Sus scrofa: one gene and its partner. The protein of the gene in region 1 purifies or fractionates together with the protein of each later gene. This does not show direct contact. Links are inferred from orthologs where the notes say so. Each region holds a gene or a part of one and is shown in the gene's direction. Other genes may lie near its edges.

The links.
Region 2: the proteins of SLC6A15 (region 1) and GPAT3 purify together in Homo sapiens (co-immunoprecipitation; 3 studies listed by BioGRID and IntAct, counting the BioPlex papers as one, with this or other methods). This does not show direct contact. The link is inferred for Sus scrofa from reciprocal best matches to the Homo sapiens genes SLC6A15 and GPAT3.

The regions. Positions count from the first base shown.
Region 1 is NC_010447.5:97,091,731-97,096,053, forward strand, and holds the start of SLC6A15 (sodium-dependent neutral amino acid transporter B(0)AT2), read left to right. Parts: upstream 1-1,466; 5' UTR 1,467-1,623; exon of another isoform or gene 1,624-1,988; intron 1,989-4,323.
Region 2 is NC_010450.4:134,911,976-134,915,234, reverse strand, and holds the end of GPAT3 (glycerol-3-phosphate acyltransferase 3), read left to right. Parts: intron 1-1,501; coding exon 1,502-1,613; 3' UTR 1,614-2,742; downstream 2,743-3,259. UniProt on the Homo sapiens protein: Converts glycerol-3-phosphate to 1-acyl-sn-glycerol-3-phosphate (lysophosphatidic acid or LPA) by incorporating an acyl moiety at the sn-1 position of the glycerol backbone.

The DNA.
Region 1 (4,323 bases):
CAGCAACGTGGGATCTGAGCCCTGTCTTCCACCTACCCCACAGCTCACTGCAACACCCGGTCCTTAACCCACTGAGCAAGGCCAGCGGTCGAACCCGCGTCCTCTTGGGGTGCTAGTGGCGTTTGTTAACCGCTGAGCCATGACAGGAACTCCCCTCTTTTCTTTTTTCTTTAAAAAGTGCTTTAAAGGTGGGTTTGGAAGAGACTGAGGAAAAGCTCTCTTGGCTGCATTAAAAGCTGAGGATTAGTAGCAAAGTTCTGACCTGAAATTTAGGTCTTGTGATTTCTTTTCAGGAGATTTTTCACTGCATGAAAAACCTGTCTCCAATGGCCTTATTATTTAATTCAGCCTTAATTGGATACAAACGGTCAGCATCTGAGGGACTGTTGGAAGGCCTAAAGGTGCACAAATGTATTTTTTAATGGTACTACCCAGTCATCTGGAAATGGAAAACTCCTTCACCAAATTACTAAACCTTTCTGCTCCAATATGTTGTATGTTCATTTTGCATTTCTTCCCAATTGCAGAGTTTAAGGACATACAATTTAATTTCTAGAGTATACGCCCTGCTTAGGGGGAAGATTCAGCCATTTTCCAAAGTCGGCTACGCTCTGTGCTCAGTCATGTATGTTTCAGGAGTTCTCCACGTGGCTTCAAGAGGATGGCTTCACTGCTCCAAGAGGGAGGTCAGGCTTCCTTTAGGAATAAGACCCCTGGGAGGCGAGTTGGATGCTAAGACACCAACATAGGGGGAGGACCAGCTCCCTCAAACAGCCTTTCAAAATGCGGCCAGAAACTTTGGCCGCTATCGGGACCCCGGTGGACGGAGAAGCAAATGCCCAGCGGGCTTTCCTTTTGCAAGAGATGTAAATGGCCGGCCCAGGGAGCGAGCTGGGGAGAAGGGTTCTTGGGGTTCCCTCCCTCCTCTAGTTCAGTCGCCGACGGACCCTGGGAAAACATTCAGAGGGTGTCAGGTCGGACCACTGCCATTGTTATCCGGCTGAGACAAAGGCGGGTGGTGGCGGCGGCAGGGGGCGGGTAACGGGTGCCCATCCTCTAGGTGCCCTGAGAGTTGGGGGAGGACGGGATGGCAGGCGGATTCGGTTTGCTGGCTTGGAAGCGGGCTTCCCCAACCCCTCCCGCCCCCCGCCCGGGGCGCAGGGACGACGCGGCGAGGCAGCCGCAGCGGCCTCTGCGTCAAGGGGCGGCGGGGCGGGGAGGTGCGGCGCGGGGCCTGGCGACCTGGCTCGCGTCCCCCAGCCGCCCGCAGCCTCCTCCCTCCCTCCCCCGCAGCCTGTCGGCGGCCGCCGCTTGGGCGGGCCGGGCACGTGGGCGCCTCCGTCACACCCTCCCTCACACACACTCACACATACCCGCGCGCACGCACCCGCGCGCCTGCATCTCGTGCTCTTTCCCTGGCCGACACTCGGGCGCTCACGAGTCGCTCCTTGCCCGCCCTCCGGGCCCTTGGCCAGCCGCCGCTTCTCTCCACCCGGCTCCTCGCGGCCTCGGTCGCAGCCACCTGGACCAGACCCTTTTGCCGCTGCTGCTGCTGCTGCTGCTGCTGCTGCTGCTGTCGGGACGTGGAAACAGCAAGAGGCCCCCGACCAACACACGCTAACGGTGAGGACACGCTCCTACCACTAAGGGCACGGTTTAGGTTGGGGTGGGGCTCACCGTTTGGCACCCTGGAGCCCGGGACCCGGGAAGGGAGCGGAATTGATGGCTGGCTCTCCTGGGAAGGACTCAGGCTGTGTCCAGGAGTGAGGGGAGGCAGGGAGGCCCCAGAGCCCCGAGAAGGCGAGGCTGAGCTCTTCGGGAGACCCTTCAGGCTCAGGGTAGTGCACCTGTGCACAATCCCGGGGCCTAGAGGCGGCGCGTAATTGAAAGCACATGGGTCGAAACGTGCCGCCATCCTTCCTTTTGGTCGTGACCACAGCATCCCCAAGAGACTAGTTCTTCCCACGTCAAGGCAGGGTTGGCTGAAGGGTGGGGCCCGACGTGGCAAGTCAGAAAGTTGGGAGGGTCGGGACCGGATCGAGACGCTTTCAAGGTTCGAGGTGAGGAGGAAGCCGAACCTCGTGTGCGTGGGCGGTGGGGCGGGGAGAGGAGCCAACCTATTCCTCATTCGCTTCTGGTTGCTGTTGCAACTGCTGAAGGCATTTGCCCAAGACGGTGTGTGTTCACGTGACGCCAGTTCGCTTTTGCCGAGGCATCCTGCGAGAAATGGTCCAGAAGTGGGCCTTCCTCCCGCACAAGGCACATGACTGCCCAAGAAAGCACAGCCCGTGTGTTTCTGCCCATCCAAGCATTTGAGACTGTGGCGTGAGGGTGTTGGTGCTGGGATTTTAAAGGAGGGGGTAGGAAGAACTGGAATCTCAGACTTCGTTGACTCGGCTGGCTCGTGCATGGCCTGGACAGAGGACGAAATTGAGCACAGGCATAGACTTTCAGTCTCATCTCTCACGCATACCCGCCTTACAAATATGAATGGATCAAAACCCGCCCCAGCTGTCCTGGAGACAGGTTGACCCGCTCGGGCTCAGAGCTGCAGTGGCGGGAATTCTTTTCCGTTATGCAGAGAAGCGGCATCTTCCGCCCTTTCGCGGCGAGGGAAGCCCTGCAGCTCGCGCTCCCCGGTGCGGTGCATTCCTTTCCGCCTTTCCATTCTCTGCCCTCGGGTGGAAATAGTGGAGTAAGACGGGGCGGGGTCCGCACTCGGGCGCGGTGACGTCAGCAGTGTTTGGGTGCTTATGCAAATGAGGCTGCTACCGTTTCTGAGCGGCCGGCCGCCTCCCCTCCAGGTCTTAAAGGTAGACCCCAGTCTAAGTGGGCACCACTGGCTTGGTTCACTGACCCGAGACACGAGAGGACCGAAGGGTTTGCATTCTGTGCTGCATTTCGGCTCTTATCTTCCAGTCTTTAAAGCTGTTTTGTACCTGTCATTGCCTGGTTGCTCGCCCAGGGAACAGGGCGTTTGCTTCAGGAAATAACCATTTTTTGAAGAACTACCCCACGGAGAGCTCCTACCCCACCCAGCCTCCGTTCTGCACGAAAGGCGCTGAGAAACACACCTACTTAGGTCTTCAACGCCTTGTGGTGGAGGTTGACTTGTATTAGGTCTTTAGTAAAAGCCTCATGATGGATTGAAGAGCGTGTGTATTTCTCTCATTGCATTCGGAGAATTTCACTACCAAAATCATCTATTTTATTTTTTCGAATATCTGTTTTTTGTGCCTTATGATCAATGGTCTATGTATGTTTGTTAGACTAAAACATTTTCGATATATTTCTGAATTCATTGACCATTTTACTACACTTGATACATTCAGTGTGGTTTTATTTTTTATTTTTCAGGGATTAACATTTTTGTCTTTTTTTGTGTGTGTGATTTCTTGGGCCGCTCCCACGGCCTATGGAGGTTCCCAGGCTAGGGGTCGAATCGGAGCTGTAGCTGCCGGCCTACACCACAGCCACAGCAACGTGGGATCCGAGCTGCGTCTCCAGCCTACATCACGGCTCAAGGCAACGCCGGGTCCTTAACCCACTGAGCAAGGCCAGGGATAGAACCCTCATCCTCATGGTTCCCAGTCGGATTCGTTAACCACTGCGCCATGACGGGAACTCGGGGATTAACATTTTTGAAAGGAAGAGAATCTCATCTTTTATTGACAAGTTTTCTTTTTTTGATAGCACGTTTGATACTTGATTCAGGACTTACTTTATATTTCCAATATATGTAACCCAAGATACTGTATTTTAATGGCGTTAAGATTTATACACATTTTTAGGAAATAAGTGCTCTCTCATCCAACAAGGTAAGAATTATTTAGTCCAGTTCAAGCTGCCATAACAAATTACCATAAACTCAATTGCTTATAAACAATAGAAATGTATTTCTCACAGTTTTAGAGACTGGTCCAAGATCAAGGTGTTGGCAGATTCTAGTGAAGGCCAATTTCCTGGTTGCTATACGGTGCCTTCTCACTGTGGCTTGATGTGGTGGAAGGAGCTAGTTAGTTCTCTAGCATCTCTTGTTAACCCCCAAAGGCTTTCACCTCCTAATACCATCACCTTGCGGTTAGAACTTCAACTTATGAATATGGGATGGGAAGAGGACAAAAACATTCAAACCATAGCAAACAATAAAGAATGTTAGTATTGGATAATAACTACTCGAGATGCCAGTTGTCAGGGAGATGCCATAGTTGTCAGTTACTGAAAAGTTAAATTAGAATAATTTCCAAAACCTAAACTCTGCAATTATTAGTTAACCCAGGGATTCATAGTTCAAACTTTACTTTGTGCATGTTAGAAAATACG
Region 2 (3,259 bases), on another chromosome or scaffold:
AACCTACACCACAGCTCACGGCAACACCGGATCCTTAACCCACTGAGTGAGGCCAAGGATCAAACCTGTGTCCTCATGAATACTAGTCAGGTTTGTTACCCCTGAGCCACAACAGGAACTCTAAATAAATAATATTTAAAAATTAAAAAAAAAGAATTAAGATGTGCGGCCATCAGAGGGGATGGGGTAACACTTGAAGTCACAGGTGCTTAGGGCAGCACAGGGTTCACTGGGGCTTGGGAAGGAGGACGGAGTACAAACGAGGTCAGGATGCTCAAACAAATCTGGCTGTGAATTTCACTTTACTTCGTGGAATTTTCCTACAGCTGACCCCTGGAAGACTTGTGGACCGAAGTCTGTCTTTAGCCCGAGGACTTCCTGGCGGGCTGTGTCTTAGTTTTGACTCTAGAGGCCAGAACAGTGCAGTGGGCTCAAGCAGGGGTGTGCTTGTAGGTGAAGCTCTTGATGGCATTGAGTTCACTGACTAACCTATGATCCGTTCATCATCATTAGAGAGTGCTTAGTAGACACTCGTGCTCAGCTGGGTTAAAATTAAACAGTATGAAATGAGCAAGTTCAGGGTCTGTGCCCTCTTAGGAGTTAAAATCTAAAACCCTGGATTAGGAGTGAGCTAGTGGCCCTGAGAGCCTAGCTGTCTTCCAGCTCTTCCCGCCTCCTCCTCTGTGTGGTCCAAAGAAGGGGAGGCACGCAGAGCCCTTGTAACCAGGCGGGACTCTGTGGTCACCACACTGGAGAGAAAGATTCACAGGCTCTGAATTAAGGAGTCCTGCGTACGTAGACACTATTACTGGCTGAATGCAATTTAGGTTTTTGTTGCTTGTTTTATTCCGAGTCTGTTTTGGAATATGGAAGATTATAAATACTTGAAAGAGGACTTCCTGTTGTGGCTCAGTGGTTAACGAATCCGACTGGGAACCATGAGGTTGTGGGTTCGATCCCTGGCTTTGCTCAGTGGGTCAAGGATGCGGCGTTGCTGTGAGCTGTGGTGTAGGCCAGCAGCTGCAGCTCCGATTTGACCCCTAACCTGGGAATCTCCATATGCCACAGGTGTGGCCCTAGAAAAGGAAAATAAGTAAATAAATAAACACCTGAAAGATAGTGCTTTGAATGAAAACGTGATGTGATAGACGTAAGATTAGATTTGAATGACTTTTTTTTTTTTTTTTTTTGTCTTAAAAAGACAAAAATTTTAGGGCTGCACCCTAAACCTATGGAGGTTCCCCAGCTGGGGGTCTAGCCGTTGCTGCCGGCCTTTGCCACAGTCACAGCAATGCGGGATCCAAGCCACATCTGCGGCCTACACCACAGCTCACGGGAACACTGGATCCCCAACCCGCTGGGCAAGGCCAGGGATCGAACCACAACCCCATGGTTCCTAGTCGGATTCGTTAACCACCGAGCCACGATGGGAATGCCAGTAGATAAGCCTTTTAAATCACTGCTAGGAGGACCTTTTCCTTATTTGTGTTCCTGTCCTCAGGGATGGAGGTCTGAAGAGAGCCAAGGTGAAGGACACCTTTAAGGAAGAGCAGCAGAAGAATTACAGCAAGATGATCGTGGGCAATGGATCTGTCACCTCCGAACTGGACTGAACGCCCGCGGGGCTTTCCAGAGCCAGTCCTTGGAAAAGGAATGTGCCGGGGTTGGGGGGAGCAGGATGGGCCTCGCTTGGTTTTACCGTCTTTGTTTTTATTGTTAGTCTTTTCTACTGGGGGATGATTGTCTCTGCCTCTTTACGCCAGAGGCAGAACCCAAGGTGCCCTTTTGGCTTTTGTTGTTGTTAGAGCATTAGCCTCCGGAGCTGTAAGGCCGTTGACTGAGTTTAAACAGATGCTGCCTTTTGTAAAACTTGATGGTGTCTTGTGGATTGAATGAAATCTTTTATTGGGGCAGGCAGTGGGAAGTGCCTCTAAAACACTTTTACTGCTGGTTGTGTCTGGCACTCATTGATAGGGTGAGCCTCACAAGAGTACCCCAGACTCTTTGCTCACAGCCAGCGTGCTGAGCCCTGTCCTCCCACCCGCTTCAGCCACTGACACCGGGATCACAGGGCCCTCCCAGGTTGCTGTCAGGGTTTTGTGCCACGCAAGGTTGAAAAGAAAGGACAGCTTTGCGGCCACTTGATTGGAAAGTCGAAAGGAAACGTAAATGTTTTTAACTAGCTCTTTAGAAAAAACATACTATTTGAACTTTGCCAAAGAAAAGCGAGTCTGAGTTAACTGTGTATGCACATTTGTGTGTTGGCAACTTGCAGATAAACCTATGTCAGCCAGCGGTGGGCGTAAAGTTTTTAGTTTTCCTTGTTTGTATGCTAAAGATCTATACCTAAGGCCTTTCCCATCTACTGATTTGTTTGATCTTGTAACCAAACCTATTTTCAAATGGGAGGAGCCTTTTATAATGACAACAGATTATACCGACTCAAGCGGGAGTAAGAACAAGGGAGTGAGGCGTGGGGCTCCCCCCTCCCCCGCCCTTTGCTGTTTATTTCAGGACTTTCCCAGTTTCTGCAGCCGGAAAATAAGGGTAGAATTACTTTTTGGAAACTGAGCCTTAACCTTTTAAAGGGGACAGTAAGTGTTTCCCGACTCGACTCCGTAGCGTAAGCGACGTCTGATGCCCATATGATACCATCGGGGTGTTATGTCTTCAGGTAACCATCTACAAAATGTGAAACTGTCTTACAGTCGAATATAAATAAAGTCTATATTTCTAACCGTGTCGCATTGTTTTCCCTGCACCTCTACCCTCTGCTGATCTTAAGTAGCTGAAATTCTTTCATTGCCAACAAGGGTCATTTGTTTTTCAATTCAGTGCCATAGTTCGATTTTATTGGACTGGAACAGCTGGGAAATGAGAAACATAAACCGCTGCTTTTGGTTTGTTTTTTCTTCTTTTTTAGCCTAGTTGCCTGGACTCTGACCCTGTGGACTCCGTCTTGGGCAAAGGCACAGACTTCACTTCTTTTGCAGGTGATCCCAGGAGCTCTGCCTTAACTGACCGTGTGCACAGGTAGGTCTGCCACAGCACTGTCAGCGTGTATTCTTCTCCAGCTAGATGGAGTCGACCCCAAAGGAAAAGTTACGAACAGGTGACCTCCACGGTCAGCTGCTCTTCTCCTCTCACGCCCCTTCCATCTTTTCCCTTCTTGCTTTACGCTTCCCCCCATGCAGACTCTTCTGGGAGTGAGCTTGACCGAAAATCAGCAAATCCAAATACGCATGTCGGGGTGACTCTT